2 linked regions of the Lepisosteus oculatus genome follow. The protein of the gene in region 2 binds, or shares a complex with, the protein of the main gene of each other region. Links are inferred from orthologs where the notes say so. Each region holds a gene or a part of one and is shown on either strand. Other genes may lie near its edges.

Region 1 (11,447 bases), on a different chromosome or scaffold from region 2:
CGTTGTCGTTTCGAAGTCGGCAGGCTTGAGAGTTTACTCTGGAAAATCCAATTGGAGCTTAAGTTGTGAAGTAAAGTATCTACAACCTCGGAAGTCTAAGACTAGGTAAAATCAGTTTATCTTCTCTACAGGTTCATGGAGAAGCGCAGTCCAAAGAGCTTTTCGGTCTTAACGTCTTTGATGTCCTCAGATTCCAGTGTCGCTGGAAATTCCTTTCCGGCTTCTCCAAATGTGGCTGCTTGGCAGCAACAAACTGCCTGAGCAGGACACCCTCATCTGGTGGAGAAGCAAGGAAGACAGACCTGAAGCCTGCTGGCTGTCGATGGGCAGATGGCTACTTGAGCTCCAGCAACATGGGGATATGCTGATAAAGTAGTGTCAAGCCTGTGCTCCACTGTCTGCTGGACTCTTTCGAAGGTGAGATTCACCTCCTGTCTTGCTTCACTTTGCTCTCACTGAGCACACAATCTAACAAAGTAGATGTTGCCTCAAAGCACTGTGACCCTGGCAGAAGAAATGGTTCTAAGTCCTTTCTCAGCTTTCAATTTATTTATTTTTTGTTTTAAAAGTGTACGGAGCCCATCTTCATTACTTAAAAGCCCATTCTAACGCAGTCCCTGCCGATGTTCTAGTTACTTCTCATCCCCGTTATGAAAACCCCACTGGCTGTCACTCTTCTAAGGCATTACTTTCAGGTCTCGTGAAACAATTAAAATACTACGTTTTCATTGTTCTGTAATTGAAAAAATAATTCAGTTTTATTGATCTCTCCAAACAGGCTAGGAAGATATCTTGCTGGGAAAACGCATTTGATTAGTTAATGTGAATCCAAGTTTCCAATACCATTTTATGGAGGGAATTTGGAATATTATGACAACTGAAGTGTCTTAACGATACCATAAAGGGTTAAAATACTGCCCTAGACTTCACCAAGTTATTTAAATAGTAAATTGTGAAAGATCTGGTTTGGTTTCAATTACTATAGTGATTTTTTTATAAACAATAGTGTAAACGGTTGAGAAGAAGAACCGCCTCCATTAATTAGAAACAAATGAGTGCTAAAGAAAGTATTGTAGCAACAATTTGGGGCATAATGTTTCTAAAGTGTAAATTGTTTGAACTTTTAGGCCTGAAAAGCACCAGTTATCTGATTGAAGAGGTTGTAAAGCAGCTAAAAAAATGCTGGTGTCATTCAATTATCTTTAATAAACTGTCTACCACCAAGTTTGTATCCAGATTCAACCTAAAATACAGTGCTGGTTATTCCATTGTGTAATTTAATCAACCACAGAATTCTTCATATTCATGCATTTCTGATTCCCGTAGAAAGTGAATGAGCTGTGCTGCTTTTCACACGGTATCGCTGTCAGTTTATATCCAAATCAGAGTCAACTTTATTGCCAAACCAGCCCTTTGAGATGTTAGGAATTTTTTGTGGTGTGCTTGACCAAAGCAAAGATACAAGAAAAGAATGAAAAATCGTTAACTTATCCAGCATACTACCGAGTGCTACATTACAGTGAAGACAGAATACACACATTTACCAATAAATACAATATTAAATACTTTTATAATTGTGTTGACTCTTCCAGAACCGCTCTGTTCTCTGATCTGATTTGATCTTTGCCTTCTTCCAGAGGGAAGGAGCTGAAAGAGGGTAAAGGGTGGGTGAGATTGGTCGCTCATACTGTCATTTTCAGAGGTCTTAGATTTAAACGTGTTGCGTATATAGAAGTAGCCGATGATAAGTGACTGCCATCACTGCTCATTCACGAAGCACTGTGCTCCATTCTATCCAGCTGTTTTCCTTCCTAAGTGACTACGTTCCCCTTACCAGACTGTCACAAAAAACATTAACGCACTCTCAGTTGTCCTGTGAAAATAGACCATGGCTTCCCGAGACACAACCAACTTTCTGAGCTGCCTGACAAAATAGTCTCTTATGGGCTTTCTTCACTAAGTGGTGTGCACTAGCCTCCCATTTCAAGATGGGGGAGGTTGTTGTGCCAAGAAGCATAAAGATATCTATCTTCTCCACCATATGACTGTCTAACACAAGAAGTTGTACTTCATTCCTGTCACGGCTGAAATCATAGATTACCTTTTTTGGTTTTACCAACATTGGGCCAGAGATTGTTTAGACTGCACCAGCTCACTAAAGCAAAAATAAGGAATATTTATTGAGAGAAAATAAAATTAGACTGCAGGCTGCTGATTTCTTTGTCTCAGAAGGAGAGTTAACTGCTTACAGTACTTGGTAAATGTAACAGCCTTAAATGTACTTTGATTGGCTTACAGGCATAAATCTTCTCTTGACCAAAGGTGTTTGGATTTAAAAGTGCTAGCAGGCAAATTGCTTTGTGTAGCAGAACTAATGTCAAAGGGCACTTATGGTATTAATCATGTACATAACATTGTTTAAGGTTTAAATTTTTGCTTTCTATTTTTTAAAGGCAGCAATGGTAACCACTGCACCACCTGTGAGCATTCATTAATGGAATAATAATAATTGCCAAATGATCTTGAAACATGATTTCTTCCTTAAAGTGATTTAAATTGTAGCGAGTATACTGTAAATCCATAAATTCTAGCCTTAAATGGAAATTAAATCAAGACCACTTTTGTTTGAGAGAAAAGAAATGTATTTTGAAATGGTACATGACAAAACCATGTGCTGTACTACACAAATTCTGAAATTCCATCTATGCATATTTGCTCTTGGGTCAAGTGCACAGGAAACCATTGCTTGATGTCATAGAGTCAGGATAAGTAACACCTGGAAGCTCCTGCTCTAGCAGGGCGAAGGTAAAGGAGGTGGAAAGTGAAAAAAGAGACCAGCTGGGAGTAGGCTGTTTTCTGTACTTGATTAATGTACAGTAGGTGTCCTTTTAAAATATTAGATTTCCAGACACCACTATGTTAGGGAGAAAATGCCGTCTCTTTTTATTTGCAAAGAAACTTTTTAATGCATACATGTAGCATGATATATTAAATAAATCCACTATAAATGTTTTTGCTGAAAAAATGTTACTTCTGTGAAATTGGATATTCAACCTTTCATTACTGACTAACCCCAGCAGAGGGCGATCTGTAATCACTTAAAGCACCCGACTGAGGTCGAGTTGATTCTTATCCTAGTGTTTTATGCACTGATACCGTGGATCAGTACAACACCCACAATACTTATCTAAAGGGATAAAACAAACATAGCAGATGGTGTTAGTTGACCTTTTTCTGCTTCTTTGTCAGGAAAATTCAACATTTTAACCTTGAGCTTCACTGGAGGGAAGAAACTGATTTGAAATAGGCTTTCATACAATAGCTTCAGGAAATCTAACTTCATGGTAGCTGTGTTCTGTCTTTGGAAAGTAAAGTATTTGTCGCCACCAATCAGTAGGGAGAAAAAGTATATGTTTACTCTGATCAGGTTGGCAGAGGATAATTAACAATTCTTTTTTAAGATTAACATCTGTGTGCATTTAGCAGTCTAAATGAGCTATAAACCAAAATAGAATAACTAATGTAGGAACTTAAAGTTTGCACTAAACCCTAAACATTCAGGACACATTTATTACTGTATCACTTCAGTCATGTATTTCACTAGCACATTTTTTCCCAATAAGGTAGAGAAATAATGCGGAGGTACGTTTATTGTCTTCCCCAAAAGACAGAAATGGATTTAAACATCTTTTTGCACGTTCTGAATAACAATTTAAGCCCATTAAAATCAACTGATTTCAAATAAGGTTGCTAAATAATGCAGTATTTGCGAAGGTGTAATTTTTGGGTTCTTCTCTGGGAGTCTGCTCTTCAGTAACAGGCGATGAATGATTGCTGACGGGCACTCCTGTCCCATCACAGATATTGCTGCTTTTAATGGAGCTTAACACTCTCTTCAGTGTACTTCCCTGGATACCTAAACATGATTCTGTTACTGATGCATTTTATTGCATTTCTTGTGCAAGTTATCTAAGAGCTGACGTGTTGCACCGACCTGCATCACCGTCTCTGGGCTTCTTGGAGGTTGCAAGACATCAGATTTAATCAACAATTTCTTATTAAGTATAGCACCTCTGGAAATCTGCTATCTCTAATCAGTTCTAAAGTCTCTCATTATACACGGTGTGAGAGATTTTATCCCCTTCTCTAATTCACAAATGAATGCCTGCACTCCAAACTGCCCCTGTGTACTGTCCAACGCCTTTATGTTTATTTCACGAACAGTGGTTCTGTTTTTAATATTTAATGTACATCTCATTAGTGAATGATTGATAATGCCATGGCATTGAACAGCCCTATGGGGCTCAACAGTCAGGAGGTCTACCAGCGACAGGACAACAGGGAAGAAACAGAAACGACTCGTCAATTATTACCGCTCTACAGTGGCTCTACTGTGAAATATTTACTTAATTGGATGAGTATTCTAGGTTAAAAAAACATTGAATCCTTTTAACATTTTGCCCCGAGGTGCAGTAAAGCAGCAGGCCCTAGTGTTAAAAAACACTACCGATTAATTATAGAAAACATCAAACCTTCAAACCTGTTCCATTGCACTTCCTTTGTAGTCCAGTAATCCGTCACTCCAATACAGAGTCACGGAGGAGCCAGAGCCCATCCTGGAAAGCTACTTCCATAATGTATTCAGAAGTTCAATGTGTATTGTGTTCTTCTTGCTTTATTTTTTTCTGTTGTTTGTGTTGAAAAACTGTGGACTAGAGTAATTACTACCAATTAATTTAATTACTGCCAATTAATTACTACCACTTAGGAGTTCAGAAAAAAGGAATGACAACTATAGTTCTAACAGATTTCTGAGTGCCAAAGGCAGAGTATTCCTGTCAAATTCCAATATTATTCCAAAATACCTCTATAATATTAAAATCCTAGATAATCTGTGACTATCAAGAAACCCGGCTCTTAAACACTTAAGGGTTTTGATCCACACAAGTGATTATTAAGTAATGCTACATTAACATATTAGATGAAATACTGTATAGTTGTCTTGCCAAATTTGTTTAATTAAAACAATGTAATTTTCACTTCTGTAACGCTTAAAACATATGCTGCAAGTGGCTTACTGTATATTTAACAGTTTACACAGAAGGACAAATATTTTTGTTGAAGTAAAGGTATTCATTCCTTTTTAGCATTTGGCTCCTATTTTGTTATATTTGGAATTGAGTGTGTGTATGTGACTCCTCTGAATTGCCTAACTTTGAGCCGCTTGTCTTTTGTCACTGTATATGTGGCCCCAGACAGGGGGTTTGTTGCCAATTGGAGAAGAGGAGGCTCCATCACCATGACCACACTGCAGGTTTGAACGTTCCCAGTAAGTCACTTACTAGAGAGCCCCAGTCCTACATATGACCATCAATTAAGGCTACAGGATGTGGATGTGACCCAAGAATATCTAAGCATATCTTCCAGATTTCTCTCTATCGTTCTGCAAAAGGCTAGAATCTTTAAGGTACACAGTTAATCAGAAAGTAGCCAGGCATTGTATGGGTATTTGAAGTCAAGACTGATCTTGAGAGAATTGAAGGTAACACTATTCCAGTTTGCAGCAGGATGATTTTGGAGATAATAAGGATAGTTAGCAAGACCTGTATTGTTAAATCAATTGTGAAACGTTTGTCTGATGTTAAAGGACGCAAGAAAAAGTTTCTTTTGTAACTTGCAGCTCCACTCCACGTACGGATATTTATTAAATCTGTTGCCCTTTTTTAAAATTAGATATTTAATCTTTTTAACTTCATGTGCATTATGATAAGGAACCCCTTGGCCAGCTTTAAAATGGCTGACAGGTATATAAAGATAACAGCACTAAACAGTTCAAGAACAGCACTGAAGCGTGCCTCTGTTAAATTGAAAGTCTGCTTAAATGAATTAAAGAAATTGCTATAAGCTCATTGCAATGTGTTCTAGCAACAGGCAACAGACTAGTCTTGCAGGGAATTCAAAATAAGGTGGCAGAGAAATAGGCAGCTAATCAAAATGCATCAGTTTTTCATGTACTGTATGCATTTGGAACTGAAAACATAAACTGGTCTAATATTTGAAAGTCATGCAAAAAGATCTTCGGAGTGCAAAAAGTCATACTGCTAGCGCGTATGTGCTGTTTTTTATTAAGAGCAATACAACACTGCTAAGACGTATTCATGGTTATTGACAAATCCTATAATCAATTTCTTATGGCACAGTGATAAGAAATTGATTATAGGATTTGTCAGTAACCATGAATATTCATGTATCCCATCATACTCCAGGTTGCCATGACCCCTACCAGGTGTAAGTACTTTCTGATAACAGATGGATGGATATCCCATCAGATTTGTAAATTTCTACCAGTGATTTGGGTTGTGAAGTGTTGGAGGAGGCAAGCAAATTTTCATTGTCATCTGTTTCCAAAGAAAGTTATGATTACATCTGAGCTTTCATTCAACAATACCGACACCAAGCCTTGGTTAATAAAGCAAAAAGTCTTTAAACGAAGCACAGATGTAGCCCTTTTAAACCTGATTGTTATTACCGAGTGCTATTCAGCATTTGTTCTCTTGTGGTCTAACAGGTTTTGAAACACTGTTATTTATGGAGGCAGGTGTTTCTACTCAAAACGTAAAACATTACTCTGTCACATTTACCTCCTACCCCATGACCTGCTGGTCTGTCTGCTTCAGTCTCTGAGATCTCCTTTTCCTTAGTGACAGTCAACTACGCTGTCCACTCGGTGCTGTTGAGGACTGGCCTCTCGCATGAAGTGATAAATTAGTTTTCTTCCATTGGGATTCATTGTTCTTTTTTTAAATGTAGAAGTAGTATCAGAGCGATACTCAGGTTGGAAACTTGCTTGCAACAGTTATATCCACCCTTCCCAGTATCTGAGTTGGAAAAAGCACAGTCACTACGTTTCATGACTCTGCAGAGCCCTTGACAACTCAGTGAGAAAATTATTACAATTAAGCAGATCAACACAACCCGTTTTTCATTTTTACTTAAGGTTCAGCACCACCCATTAATTGATTGGATCAGTTTGCTTACCACCTTTTCAGCACCACCCATTAATTGATTGGATCAGTTTGCTTACCACCTTTTACATTAAGCACAGTTAATGTGCTCGCTTTTGGTCTGTGTAGTTGATCCAGTAAAAATGGATGGATATTGGAGCAGATGATAATACAGTATGATGTGCATACACACAAGATTAAATAAACATAATTAATAATAAGCACTTTAGACACTAAATTGCTGCTCTTCAGTTGGCTTTAATTAGGAAACATTCTTAATTCGTGGTTATCCAGTTCTTTCATAAAGCAAAATGATAAAACCGAATATTAACGAGAACGAACTCCGAAACTGCCGTGCTCACATACAGACGTTCAAGCTGTTGTTTTTTTTTCTTTCTCCTGTCGTGTTAGCAAGCACATCGGTTCCTTTCTGAAAACTAGGGCACCAGTTAGAAGTCTGTCCGAAGCTGCAATGAACTCGAATCCTGGAAGGAATAAAGTCGTTAAGGTAAGTGAGGACTTGCACGCAAACCGGTAGAGATACCGACGTGAAAAACGTCCAGGAAAGAGCTGATGTGAGTCCTGCATCTTTTAAAACACGTGTTTTTCGCAGACCACCGTAATCAACATAGCATCTGTTGAGCAATTTAAATATATACGGAATTATTTATTTTGCATCTGTAAACTGAAGGCTTTACGTTTTTGTAGGCCCAGAATTATGGTGTTTTATCGTGTGCGGTGCAGAAAGATTACCCTAAGCTTTATAAAGCCGTAGATCCACTTATGTAAACAATAGGGATAACCATTGGAAATACGAAAATATAAAAACATTATTATGAAAAGCGTGAGTTGCCGTTCCTAAACATTATACATTTAAAAAGACTACAGATAAGATTAAATAATTCAATATATTACATCGTTTAATCAATAATACTGTACTTGTGCCTTCACATCCTTTGGACAAACATACACGATATGTTAATGACTTATTTTTAATTTTTTTCAATTGCAGGTAGGGACGGGAAAAGACTTTATAACTAATATGGCAATACAGATCAATTTTAACTGGATTATATAGAATGTTTTTACGGGAATTAAAAGGCAATGAGCAAGGCTGGTGTCAAAACTCGTATCTCAGAAACGTTTTGCTCTTTATCCGAATACAGCAGCGTCTCCTTTAAACGAGCTGACACTATTTGCACAGGTGACAACGTTGACACTGCTTGAGAAACAATTTGTTGGCGAGATGCCGCTTTAAAAATTGTCAACGGTGCTGAGCGAGAGATGTCTACTGTTGCGGTTCCAGCGGCGCTCGGAAATGCGTTCAACTCATTGTATCATTTCAGACATATGAATATCTCAGTCATCGCGATATTGGGAGTTGCCGACTTCTGTTGCTTCAAGGTTTTGAAGTTTGAAGTTAGGAGTGTTAGTTTTTTCAGCACACGTAGGTCCTAGTTGGGACCAGAATACTATTTCTACAGCACCAGGCAGACGGCGGTGATGGACAGACTGCTGCTCACCAACATCTGATCGCCAGTCTAGAGCCGTATTTACTCAGAACTCTGTGCTAGTTCTACATAAGAAGCTTATCTAATCCCAGATGTAGCTTTCAGCCTTTCAGCAAAGTCCAAATGTGAGTGGACTGCCGAGATCGAAATCAGAAAGCACGCTCGGGAAAGGAGGGCTGCAAAGAAGCGTTTTGCCAAGTTACAGTTGCAGTGGTATAGGGGTGTCATAAATCAAAAGCGATCGCGGAGTTCGCCTGCGAAAGAAGTTTCACCAGCTACTTCTTCACGGTCCTAGATATTGGCACAGGTGGAGAAAGACTTGCCTTCTTCACTAGATATAAATTGGTTTAATGCTCGTGATCACCGCGCTGCCGAGGACTGATGGCGAAGATCAGAGTGTCTTATGAGTACTCGGAGGCGGAAGATAAAAGCATCAGACTCGGGCTCTTTCTGATTATCTGTGGCATCGTGTCCCTCTTCATTCTGGGGTTCTGCTGGCTGAATCCCACCATTCAGAATATGCAGTGCAAGGCGGCGAACTGCACCGTGATCTCTGTGCAGCAGAACGGGGAAATGTTCGAGTGCACTTTCACGTGCGGGACGGATTGTAAAGGCACCTCGCTGTACCCCTGTCTCCAGATCTTCGTGAATAACTCAGAGTCCAACTCCACCGCTTTGCTGCATTACGACGAACAGCAACTTGTAATGAACCCAAAGGTAAGTCTAGATTGTAGACCCAGTGCCATCGAGGTGTGAACGCTACACATGCCTGCGTGCACAAGCACACACAACACTAAACCTTGTTTTTGTCACTTTGAGCTGTCTTTTATTAATATAATTCTGCCTGTTGCAATATAAAAAAAACATCAGATTGCTCATCTTTCGGACAACGATATTTCTCACGTCACAGATGGAGTGTAGAGCTTGATTACTGTTGCTAGCGGTTTACTAAGGACATACTGTTTCGGCATTATTTTGTTGTTGATGTTTTAGAACAAACAGCAGATGGCTTTGCAGCTCAATGGTGCCTATTTGCAGACAGTAGGGCGAAATAACGTGAGACCAGCTCAAGAATGAGTTGAATTCATTTTCCATTTGCACCAGTGGTATTGTAATGATATATACTGTCAATTGTTTCTCTTATGTAGTGAAGCATTTTCTTTGGGTCGAGTTCAACACACGAGAGGCATATACACTTTTTTCATTGTTTTTGCCTTGACACAGTGCTGAGAGGACTTTTTGGAACTAATGTAGACCTACTAGGTGTGTACAATGTTTGATTAATTCTGTGGCTTAAAACGTCTTGTTCTTGTAGCCACATACTCTTGAAGCAGACAGAGAATACAGCTGTGTGAATTAAGCCAGTGTTTGCTTCAAGAGTTCTATAAAGAAAATGCATTTGCCTGTTATTGTGAATGATGTCAGTATCAACTACATTTTCTCAACGGAATTGTAAAACTGGTGAGAAAAAAATCAGTCAACGCCATCAGGACTGTATAGAGAATATTCATTGAGGTCTAAAACTCCCTTCTGAAATTATTATATACATGCAATCTTGAGGGTGTGTCACACAGACTTAAAAATACTTAAATCATTTAAAATTTCAAAATATAATTGAATTATGCTGTTGTCTTTCTTGCAAAAGAATACGTTTAATTATATTAGTAGAGCAGCTGTAGGGGTGGCAGTAACTATTGCAGTCCAAATGGAAGCAAACCTTTAATGTAAATTATAAATAATAAGCGTGAAACACCACCCGTTGCTTCCTTAAGGTTATAATCATTATCAACTAAGAAAAAAGCCTCAGACTAGTAGTCTTTGACCATATCAATACTCATGTTTCTTTGCCACAAGAAATATTTTTTTTATAGCTGAAGACAAGCATTATTGTGTATGACTTATCTTTAACATGGAAGCCTTTTGAAATATTAAAAGAAGATGTTTTATAATGTAATAGAAATGAACAGGTGTCTGTCTGCTTGTGTATAAAATGAATGATAGAGTATGTACTGTATAAATGGATTAAATGATGTATTACAACACAACTCTTTGGAAGTACAGCGGTATAAAGCCTGGAAATTTAAATTGTGCTGTGAGAACGATAGATTTGGATATTACTGCAATCATAGCATATGATTGAGACTTGTGTACCACACTACACAGGAGTATTGTTTGGCACCAGTGAGAGCTGTTGTGTGGTGTTCTGTTTCATGCTTGGGGAAGAATCACAGACATTTTCCTCTGTCATGTCTGTTGGTTATTGGGGATGGGTTTAGAAATAATACATCTTTCATGACAAAATTAAAGGTGCATAGTAGGAGGCCACCATTCTTCTTTGCCACCACTTAAATATAAGAACCTTCCATACACAGCAAGTTCAGTAGATTTGTTTATGTGTAGTGTAAAAGGACATTGGGTATCCTGAAGACCCTACTAGCCTCATACCTGCCAACACACAGCTGAGAAACATGCAAGTTAGATTTTATTGTTGCTCAGTGGCAGATTAGTATAGGAGCCACTTTCTTTGATAATATGCTAGAACAATGAAATAAATAGTGGACTGTAATTTTCATAATGAAAACAAAGCTGGAATTAAATAATTTGTGGATGGGAATCCTAGATTAACAGAAGCTAGTTTCCAGAAATTGAAATGCATTCAATGTCATAAAAAGGCACTTGAGCTGATGGCCTTTGTTAAGGGTAGTTTTAATTACGGAGTTATTTGAGTTGAGGGTGTGCTTTGAAAAGGTTAACGTGAAGGATCATCATTTTTCCCTTAAAAACTGTTGTATAATCAATTTTTGTGTCTGCTTGCTTAACTGCTGACAGACCTCTAATGTGATTCCCCAGTATGGAGATGCATTGAAAAGCTATTGAAAATGTGCCAAATGCTCATTATGGTTATATCACTTAGAAATTAATTTCTAAAGGA
Region 2 (11,512 bases):
TCACTTTTTAACAAACATTATGATGTCTAAAGAGGTCATGATTAAAACGAAACATTCTGTGACATACAGACACTTTGCTAATTAACAGTTTCTGCCACAAGGCTACCTACAATCACATTTTAAAAGCTATCTAATACTTTGTTATCCATTGGCCTCTGTAGAGTTGGAACTCCCTGTTCCTCAGTCCCTGAGGTACAACAGAAACAGTACCAATGTCAGCTCTCAACACCAAGGGCTGTGGACTCAACAAAGAAGGATTTTGCACTCTTTCGGGATCCATCTCATCAAATTGCTGACCACATCCACTGTAGGTACGATTCATGACTTGAACAGTAATACCAATGCTAGCACATCAAATTCATTATTTTGATTACCAGCATTGTACAGACGTCACACAACTGTGAGACAGCACAAAGAAAATGATAAACACACAGCAGGAAAGGGATCACTGCCCAGCCTTTAGAAACAGGCATCACAGCCTTTACAGTGAGATTATGAGACTGATATGGTCAAGTAACAAACTAAACTACTGTGAAATATTAATTAAAACAAACGTTTGTGATTATATGTGACTATCATCCTCATCAGACATTGCGCTGCTTGCCTCTGCACCTTTTCAACCTTAAAACGATACATTATAGAACATTTAAGTTGCTACAATCTCTGAAAGTTATCTGATTTCTATGCAAATTACGTCTTTGTACAGTACATGCAAGTGTAATAGGGCTCAGTGTACCAAGCCAGTTATAGAAGTGATGTCACCCCTCTCTGAAATCTAGACAGTGTAAAACTCGCAGTCGTTTTTTGGGCTAGTGGACTTATCCACTGTCCATGGAGTGGCACTGTGTGTGCTTGGAGCCTGAGAATGACAGGGATAGAATCTCAGCAGAGGCAGGGAGAGCTGCTTTCATCACACCAAGAGCCACTGCTGTATGAATCTTTCAAAAATCAATGGCACATGCCCTCAACAAATTGAGTGAATAACTAAACTAATGCAAGCTGTGGCCAGGAAAGATGACCAGTACTATTCAAAAAGTAAAACAGCTATTAAAAGGCCAAAGATGACATCGTCCTTACTGCATTCCAGTAGAGAGGTCAGACCTAGGATCACCACTGCTTATCTCCAACAGGGGTTACTCTTATTATGGTCCATCCCTGACAACGTTGTTAGAGCATTGACTGGCCACCCCTCAATCTGAAAGAATGCATGCTGCTTCAGTGAAAAAGAGGTCTTGCAATCAGTCATCCATGTATTAAAACATCCCTGCTTGGAAGGACAAGGAATCAGCACCCCAAGGTCACACACAGAGAAGACTCCTTGAGTGGAGAAGGAAGGTTAGGCCAACGACTAATTTTTTTGGACTGAAACCTTTATTTGAAGCCACATATATCTGCGTGCATTTACACAGATGGGAGCTTCACAGGAACAGTCAGGACGTAATACAACTGAAATACGTTGTAATGCAGCTGTGTCTCACCTGGGATTTGAACACATAACCTTTCAGTTTGAGGTGCAGATCCTTGACAACTGCTGCCCCACTAGGCGGGGTTTGGAGAAAGTTGGCCCCTGGTCCGTTTCTTCTATTTCAACAACGAGCCACACAAACCCTTCTGCTAGACACAAGCTACTCTAGACACACCTCCTCCCAGACAGACTTTACAGATGGGTAACAGTGGTAGCAAAATGCTGCCACGTATTTATAAACAGCCTACAAAACTGGAGGCTTGTTATCTTTTCCGATATTCTTAGCAAAAGATACCACATAAAAAGATCATAATCAGATCCCATGTCAGATCATTTGTACAGATGCTGCCGCTGTTGTGTTACTTTTAGCTCTTGTCTCTTCAAAATATGTTGTCCCTGTCTATTTTTCAAAAGGCGATTTTCTGTAAATCAAAGCGGCCTCGATTCTCGTTTAAAAAAACTAAAGCTAAATGTGCAGGCCTCTTTCTGTCTTCCCCGCTTAACCTCTTCTGTTACAACCTGTAGGTGTGAGTTTCAGTAGGATTCCGTCTTTTAATATGCAGCTTGCCCATCCAGGTCATTAAAAGGTAATGAGGAATGGAGACTAAACATTTGTACCTTAGCCTCCAAGGGCTTCGGTGAGAGACATATTAACACACCTCTCCCACCACCCTCATAAAACAGAGAAGCTTTTCCTCTTAGCGTTTATTTGCAGGAGAATTTTAAAATTTAGGTCTTAGAAGTGCTGTGTGCCTAAATGCACATCTTACATAAATTCCCTTATGTTGCTTCATATAAACTTTAATAGAAAATCCCTTAAATCTGCACTTCAATAAAAGGCATTGTGTGATAAAATGGAATTCAATTTTAAAAACAAGCATGGGTTTCTGTTCAATACACAGTCTATGAAATAAACACGCAAACTGCCATTCACTCAAATTGCTTTGGTTCCAAGAAATATTTTTTTTTGCAATATAAATATTATTTCTGTGATATTTGGTGAACTACATTCAAAAACAAAGCAATGCTTTTAGAAAACGAATTCTTTGGAATCTAAAGTGCCACGTTAATAATTTCAGGAATATGGGTTAAAAATTGACTATATACAGAAAATGCCTTATCTTACTTGTGTCATAATGCACTGCTAGCACCACACTGTACAAACAGAGAAGATTATTTGTGCAAGACTGAGCAAGTGTTAGCTTAACATATTATGATGGCTGGGCAAAGTTCTGGTGACATGAAATATCAGTTAACATACATAGTTTACATACTGTAGGTTTTCTTTTCTAATCCATACCTGTCATACTGTGATATAATTCTGACAAAGTGGTTTTGCCCACAGAATTCAATATATCATTCTGAAGGTTAAACTCAAAACATACACTATGAGGAAATTTCGCACAAGGCTACTTTAAAGCATATCCATGTGATTCCTTCAGGCGCTGAAACCATCTCAACAAAAAGAAATCGACCATTGATATACAAGTTATATATGGATAATTTCCAAATAAAGGGGGCAGGAAAAATATTAATTAAAAAAACAGACAGCTGCAGGGTCACTCTTTCCCATTAACTTACATATTCACAGGCTAATGCAATGCAGGATTCTTGTCATATTTTAAGACTAAAGTCTGGCGAAAGAGTAAAAGTATGAAAGGCGTTTTTAAGATTTTGCAACAAATAAAACATTTAATTGAACTGACAAAGGAGCTATCCCACATTTAGTGTAAAAAACAAATTTCCCAGTTGTGACAGCCCAAAAACACAATGGTAGGAAAAGAAATCTCTAGGTATGAAAAACATTAAGCTAATTTCAGATTTGTAATATTGTTATATGTTTATTATTGTTTTACTCCACAATAAAAGATCGTGAATCAACGTGTGTGGCTATTACTCTTAGAAATCACTGGTTTTTATCAATTTTCCAGTCAAAAGAGGAAGGCCTCCTTTATCATCCAGGATTCCAAACCTTTTATTTCCAGGAGCAAACACACACACCGCTTGTTTAAAGAGGGAATAAAGCTGCCTGTTTTTTGTAAGAGGGGTATACGAGGAAAAACAACATTTCCTGCGTTTCCAGAGTCGGGCTTCCGAACAACTATATTTAAAATAAAATGACACCAGAACGCAATATCAATGTCTCCATCATTTGTCCCCAGAGATGGAGGTGGCAGTATTTACGGAAGGTTGAAGAAGTTGAATAATTTGCGTTTGTTACATACTGTAGATTGACGACCCCCACCACCCCCCACTCCCCACCCCACCTCCTCCCAAAAAGGAACATGGGGAATACACCTTCAAAATGACCGCGCGAGTTACCTTGTGTTTGATGTTGCAGTGACAGCACACAGTCCACAGGTACTTGAGAGTCCTCCAGAGAAGGATGATGAAGAGACCCCCGAAGAAAGTCACCATGGAGGAGGCGAGAAAAGCCCACCACATGCGCTGCCCATTGCTATCACAGGGCACGTCTGCGGAGTAAGGGATGATCACTGCATCCATCTTGGACATGTACACCGAGGACGAGTCCGGATTGATATTATTATTGATATTGTTACTCATACTGCTGCTGATGCCTTCAGAGACGTTGCCATCTGCCATAGCTAGCATCCAGAGGCTTTGGCGAGCTCCTCTCGGCACCCCCAACCCCACTCACCAGCCATATTGCTTCAGATATCCTCTTCCCTTCTCAGGATTTCTTTTGCCCCTGTTTTGTTCTAGACCTATCGATTTCCCCTAAAACCTGTGACGCACAGGCGAGCCCCACTTCAAAGCCCGTATATCAAGTCTCTTTCCCTCTGCAAAACGCATTTAAACTCACCCTAATGACGCCTATATGTTTTCGTTTTAAGTCAAGTCGGGCATTTTCCAAACCTTCAGGAGCAATTCCATGTCAGAGAAATCTTCATTTCGCAGCCGTCGCTGCTGCCCAGCTTGTTTTTTTGTGGACTGCTGTGGCTTCTGTATAGTGCTGAAGACAAAGTATATATTTATAAACAGCACTTCAAGCGGCTTGCTTGAGACCTAGCTTTCTTCCATCGAGGCAACAGAGCGCTTGACTGTAAACGATTTCGGTTGCGTAAACACTGCCTTGTCGACAGCCTTCGGGGTTTTCAACGGGGTGAAGATCTCTCGCGTCTGTAGCTGCGCTCCTCGCTGTTGCAGAAACTGGGGCTGGAGAGCGTTTCCCCCCTCCGCAAAGACCGCTCTAGTGTTGATACTGGCGTTCCCATTCACCACCTTCCTCTCGGCCCGTACAGCGCCCAGCTGATCCAGGCTGTCAGATCTGCTGGAAAGATAGCCAGGGGGGATTTACAGGTATCAAGGCGGAGCCAAGCTCGAATAATAGAGATGGACAGACGGCCGGGGATGTTTATTCCAGCAAGCCACTGCTGCTATCTGGAGATCGCTGCGTCCTTGCAATGCGAAGGGCGCGTTCTGGTTTTTACTATTAAAATGGCTTTACGTGCTACGCCGTGTTCTCGTATTCCCTCTACATTCGAGACAACGGTTCGGTGTAATGAGATTTATTTTCAATATTAACGTTTTTCAATCTTACCTTACGGCAGATCTCAGTGACTGGAATACAAAATACAGCAGCTGTACCGCTTTCTAAAGGCGCTGCGGTATCTGTCACATAATCTACAGCTCTCAATAAATGTCTGCAGTCCTATCTGTATGCTGAAAGCGGTACAGGGTTATAAGCGCTTTCATTGGGGTGCTGTCCAGGGAGAAAGAAATTATAATAGTCATAATAACGCATTTTCCGTCGCCGAAAATTTCCAGTGAAAATGGAGACGGGCTGTGTTTTTACAGAAGTGTTTTTTTCAGTAACCTTTTCTTCCACGCTGGCTGAGCACTCAACACTCCACCCACGGAAGGGAAGCCGGTTTTGTGCACTTAAACTTGGAAACCTGTTGAGTGCCCGTAATAGTTTTCGTTTCGAAACTGGTGAAGTTTTTGTACACAAGATAATTGTAATATTCTTAGGCTTATTGTAATTTTGAAAATATATTTTTTGGTGTACCGGTCATTGATAAGGATGATGGTATAGTCAAATCGCCCATAAATATCCATAAAAGATCATTTTTCCCTAGTGTTGGTGACAAATGATAATCTGCTAGACAGTATACGCGTCCGTCCTTTCTATGCAATTGTTAGCCTCCTGAGATACAGGTATCAGTACCAAATGATGGTTAAGAGATAGGACACAGTAACCCACTTTTAAATTAAAATTAGAATAGGGGAACTGCGTTTAGGCGATGCAAGAATCTAGCGCTACAGTACCTGGAAGGTCTGCTGCCATTTTGTACCACCAAGGGCCCGCTGCGTTTGTGTGAACCGTAATAGCTACACCATAACAGATCTGACAGTCCGGCAAACGCCGGTCTGTCGCAGAGATGTGAAGAAAAATGTCGTATCTATCTGAGCAAGGTCCGGTTTCACAGTCTGTGCCGAAATTGGTGTTGATACTATAAACGTATTTCTGGATGACGGGAGAAGGCAGGGAGTAATTAATAACCTACGGATGACCTACAGTATCGTTATCTATAGATCAGTCTGTAGAGGTCTATAGAACATATTAAGGTAACATATACACTACCTATAAAATTCAATAGAACCTGTTAAAACAACTTATAGATTATCTATAGATTTATGTAGAAAAGACCCAGCTCTCTATAGAAACCTTTAGGCCACTTGCACAAGAGTAAAAAAGCCATCTTTAAGGATGCAAACTCCTGGCAGTGTGAATTAAAGGTTTTCTCCACTTTTTTATAATTCTTATCAATCTCTCAAGCCAAATAAAGTGGTTTTCAAATTAGGTGAACAGATGGTTTTAATATCTCTACCCTTTGACTTAATGATGGGCTCAGTTTAAATTCTGGTTTAACAGCTACGGGCAGATATATAGCTGTATGAATAGATAATTGCTTACACTTCCATAGCACTTTTCTGGACACTCCACTCAAAGTTCTTTATAGGTAATGGGAACTCGCCTTCTCCACCACTAATGTGCAGCCCCACCTGGATGATGCGATGGCAGCCATAGTGCACCAGAACGCTCACCACACATCAGCTATCAGTGAGGAAGAGAGCAGAGTAATGAAGCCAATTCATAGATGGGGATTATTAGAAGGCCATGATTGGCAAGGGCCAATGGGAAATTAGGACAGGACGCCAGGATTTTTAATGACCACAGAGAGTTAGGACCTTGGTTTACGTTTCAACCGAAGGATGGCGCCTTTTTACAGTATAGTGTTCCCGTCGCTGTATTGGGGCATTAGGACCCACAGAGACCGAAGAGTGAGAACCCTCTACCGGATTTACTAATACCTCTTCCAGCAGCAACCTTAGTGTTTCCCAGATCTCCCATCCAAGTACTGGCCAGGCTCACACCTGCGGCGCTTCAGTGCGTTGCCAGTTGTGAGTTGCAAGGAGATATGGCTTCCGGATGAAATATATAGATATTATGTACATCACCGATGTCCACTACATTAATATACTATACTATTTAAATACTCATTTAAAACGCTAACAGTTTATTCTTAAAGTTACGACAGTTAATTAGGCTTTACTTTGAATGAAATGCGTAGTTAAATCAGCGGTGTTTACAAAAATTGATTTTTGCCTATTCGTTGCTTTAACGAGCAAAGTTTTAAATACAAAGAAGTTACACAAATAAAAGTACCGCATGCGGTAAATATTTTATTGCGGCATTTTAAAAGCAACATTTGAGTGCAGCAGCGTTGTCGCTGTCGTCGTTAAAAACGAGGCAAATTAAGGTCTGATCACAAAAAGCTTTTTAAAAGGGAGGCGATGGTGCTTTTTTCTCCTTAATTATTCATAGTGGTGAGCTAATTCGACGACAGATGCAGCTGCGAAAACTCGACTTGGTGCAGTAGTTGTTTGAGCACATGGAAACTTTTTTTTCGCCACCTGGTGGATGTTATCGGTGTAGCAAACTGACAGGAAAAACAAGGCCGTCAGGGGCGAGGCAGAACGTCCTACATTTGTTTCGCAGAAAAGAAGAACAAGGGGAAGAATTGACTAGGAAAGACATACTGATAAGTTAATATCCGTCTTTATTCATTCCTATTTTTCCTACGTAAGGTACTTTTTAATTTGAGGAAAATCAGAACCATGTATTTGTAACGATAAACATGGCTTGTATTACACGTTTCATGTTAGTAGTTGCCGTTATTCAATAAAAAAAAAAGATTTGAATAATTTTGGTTTTAACACATTAACGTTCTGGGTGGAATGTAAGGACAAACACCTTGAAACAAAGCCACTATCCAAAACATTACATATTATATTGAGCAGAACAGTGGTAACAGGATTAACAGGAGCACAGCCGTAGAGGTATCCAGCAGTATTGGCTCTGCAGGTGACGTTCCCAGCCTTTGCTTGAAAGGGTTCCCGATTCGCAACTTCCTGGGGGGCTGTGACGAGGAGGGGCAGGTGGGCTTTCACAGCAGCAGGAAGAATCACGGGAACAGGGCTGACAAGAGGCGGCCATTCATAGGCGAATGTTGTCGGGGAGCTGGTAGCTCGGTGATCTGCTGCTTGGACGAAGCCAGCGCGGCAGCTTGGGCATGATGGACAGGGAGTTTGTCTCAGACCTGCCACTGGAACATTGAGGGTAAGACTGTAAGGGCATACCACTGCTCAGCATTTAGTCCTTGAAAGGAATGCTACGGGGTCTTCACTTCAGCTAGTTGCATGAAATGGGATGCATTACTCTTTCTGGGAGGCTGTCAGCTGGCCTACGGTTCTGGCTACAGACTGGGTCAGAATATCTGGCTTCTAGACACCGAGGGGCAGAATGACACAAGGACATGCCAGTGTCCCATTGGCATGACGTCACTGAAGGGGTGTTTCCCAAGTGTAGATGACCGCATTCCTTTCCAGAGAGCCAGGGTTACGAAGACAAACCAACACTAAATTATTTTATGTCCCGGTTGTAAACTGGGTATAGTGACATCAAGCACACTCAGATTAGACTTCCACAATGTTACTGGTAGCAACAGGATCATGCATGATGATTTTCTAGGAAAACAAAACTACAGCAGCTGTCAGTGAAACCTGAGGAACTATTTTACAACCACAGTGTTAAGTGCAGGGCATTGCTAAGGATGAAAAGCTTAATTTCTGGACCATAACTCATAGTCATTTGCAGCAAGTCATGGGACTTTAAGCAAGTGTGTAAAGATAAAAAGAATGTAGGCTATAGCAACTATTGCTACAGAAACAGCATTTTGCCAAGCTGCGAAAGGCTTCCAATGCTAACCTTACAGCAAAGACCGCCCTCACAGCAGACTCCCATCTGTTCAGAAGTTAAGACGGCCTGTCAGCAGCTGTCCTGAAACGAACACCTCAGCAAAGACATGATCCTCTTTAAGCACATTTAAGAGGAATTGTGGTGCTATACTGAAACAAGTTCGCCAATCTAGTGAGTGGAACACAAGGTGAAAACTCATTTGATGATTCATCTTCGCAAACCTTCCCATACAAGAACTGTTGAGACCTGATCAGATAATGAACTCTGAAATAGCTGGAAAGCATCTAATTACCAGAGCATGACAGATGTGTGTGACCACAGTTCAGTGCATGTATGTTGTTTGTAGTTGCGTGTAATGGGGTCTGGTGGCACTGAACATGTTACTGAAGTGATGTCACCCCTTAAAAAAATAAACGGCAATTTCTCCCTCAGTAGAAGACGCAGTTATTTGGCATGTCAAAACCCTTGACAGACCATCCTCTGAACCCTGACAATCAACACTTAATAATATATGCACCTATACAATATAAAAGTGCATACTTTTGATGACTCTGGCCCTGCTACAAACCCTTTTGGATGAGGAAATTTCCAGTTACTCGTTCAAAGCGGGAGGGTTTTTTTCTTTAGTTCCTGTAGTATATCCAATTGCAATAAAAGATTTAAAAACACCCATCTGTGAGTATTAGAACAATACTGGCATTGTGTTGGAGAAGAATAGAGGTCATCTGAAAGCCTGACAGCACACAGAGCCCTGAGCACTGGTGAACACACACCTCCAGAAATGATATTACTTCCTTGTGCACGGAGAAGGAACTGTATCTTCTGTCAAGACTTTGTTCTATTTCAGCATTTTTGGAAAATCATTAATATTTTGAAGTTGTAACATTTGCTGGTATCAGATATTTCCTGGGAGAAATTTCTCTAAAACTCATGAATTAAATTTGTAGCCGACAGCCTCAAGAAAGAGGGTTCAAGTAAGGTTAATTATCTGAACCTAAGAAGGCAGTGTCCCCATCGGAACGCTTCTAGAGGAATTTGCTTTTCATCAGTGCACATTCAACCTGTGACAGGTTTCTCAAACACTATATTGATGTTCTCATCTAATTAACCTAGATTGTAAATCTTAGATTTGATTAAGTGAATTCTCTTGTCACATTTGCCACACACTTAACCAACAGGCACATTGTATACCCTATCTTATTTCATGTAGGTAGCATGTGGACAGCATTTAAGACTGAACCATTAATGTATTCATGGAGGCATTGCATTACAGTGAAATGACACAATGTGGATATGCCGAATATCCATATAGAGGAATTCAACCAGATGGGCTGTCATAAACTTAACACTTTACTCACTGATCACGAGTATACTGGTTTTAATTTGTGACAGTATCCATTTTAAAATCTTCAGCTCTAGCCTGCTTACCTCTCCTAAAAGCATATTTCTGTGCTGACCCACACTTAAGACAGAATGCATTGTTCACACTTGTCGACTCACTGTGACAGAAGACCAAACAGCAAAGGCACAACAAGGATTGTGAGCATTGTGTATATTGTAGATGCTGTATAATTTTGAGGTGAACCTGAAGCACCCTCATCTAAAAAGATTTTATAAATTTTAGTAACACAGAAGCAAAACACAGACCTTTTCAGTCTGGAAATATTACTGTTGAAATTACTCAAATGAATAGATTTAGCCGTTTTAAAGCAAATAGGTTTCCCTTTATCTGGAAGCAGGATCACCCATTTTCACACACCTATCCTTTCAGTGTCAGCAGGAAGAAGTGTGAATCTGCAGCTTCAGGCTACATTGGCCAGTACTTTAGATCGGACCTGCACCATAACAGAAGGCACATTCTATTGAAGCTCAGCCTGGCTATTCTATGGCCCATGGTTACAGTAACTTCACTGATAGGAGCTGTAATGAAGGTTTTAGAGATTCATCTCCAGCTGAAACTTTTACAGGATGAGAAGACTTGGATCTAGACTGACTGTTCACCTTGACAAGATCGAGAGATTAATGAGGTCGTACATCTGTATTTGTTAGGAACAGGCAATCATCTGTCACGGATCCCATTCATCTTGGAAGCACTCAGAACAATTTTGGAGTGAAGTGTTAACTTTAAGTCTGGTTCCTTTTTCATAAGATTCCAATCACATCCACATTTAAAAAATCAGATTATAACATGTATTTGATGGTTTAATTAATGAAAAGGTACTGAACAATTCCTAAGCCTCAAAACACCATTTGCATTTAGTCAAACATCACTGTATAACACCACAGATCTCATCCTTCTTAACTGATCTCATGTGTCACACTCTTTTTGGGGCACTGCACAGCACAACAAGGCTAGAAGTCTTATGTCTGCTGTCTCACACATGATACTTCACATTGACTGTATGTAGCAAGAATCATTGGGAAACGTTTTTCACCTGGTGGGAAAGGTGAAACTCGGGAACAAAAATCCCTTCCAGGTCTTTGGCAACACTTTCTGCCGAAAACACCATTCGCATGACATTACACCAAGAAAGCGGGGGGTTTCGGTTTCCAAGCCTAGCCCAGTCAAAGCCACACACTTAACCTTATCTTGTACACGCATTAAGGACGCAAAAAAGTAACAAAATCAGGAATCAAAACTAAACACTTCCTGTCTGCAGCCCTGAACGAAACTTGTGTCCTCTCCAAAAGGAAACCTGCAAAAAAGCGGAAGTTTCCAAGAGGTCTGGTGTGAGCGGACATGGAGCAGGGAGCACTGCTCT

What was found.
Region 1: the proteins of kcnma1a (region 2) and calcium-activated potassium channel subunit beta-4 are in contact, whole or in part, in a cryo-EM structure (PDB 6V22), measured with the Homo sapiens proteins. The link is inferred for Lepisosteus oculatus from reciprocal best matches to the Homo sapiens genes KCNMA1 and KCNMB4. Residues at the interface, in NP_001154824.1 of Homo sapiens: Phe98, Phe99, Leu102, Phe103, Leu106, Leu107, Arg109, Thr110, Tyr113, Leu114, Thr116, Val117, Asp238, Leu240, Trp241, Leu244, Pro327, Trp328, Asn330, Gln332, Leu367; in NP_055320.4 of Homo sapiens: Thr11, Glu12, Ala13, Glu14, Lys16, Ser17, Leu20, Leu24, Ile34, Phe35, Cys38, Trp39, His105, Thr164, His165, Val183, Leu186, Ile187, Leu190, Thr191, Ala194, Leu197, Ala198, Lys200, Ala201, Met204.

The regions. Positions count from the first base shown.
Region 1 is NC_090702.1:23,121,057-23,132,503, reverse strand, and holds the start of calcium-activated potassium channel subunit beta-4, read left to right. Parts: upstream 1-7,142; 5' UTR 7,143-7,512; intron 7,513-8,016; 5' UTR 8,017-8,896; coding exon 8,897-9,232; intron 9,233-11,447. UniProt on the Homo sapiens protein: Regulatory subunit of the calcium activated potassium KCNMA1 (maxiK) channel. Modulates the calcium sensitivity and gating kinetics of KCNMA1, thereby contributing to KCNMA1 channel diversity.
Region 2 is NC_090699.1:18,680,774-18,692,285, forward strand, and holds the start of kcnma1a (calcium-activated potassium channel subunit alpha-1a), read right to left. Parts: upstream 4,981-11,512; 5' UTR 4,079-4,980; coding exon 3,788-4,078; intron 1-3,787. UniProt on the Homo sapiens protein: Potassium channel activated by both membrane depolarization or increase in cytosolic Ca(2+) that mediates export of K(+). It is also activated by the concentration of cytosolic Mg(2+).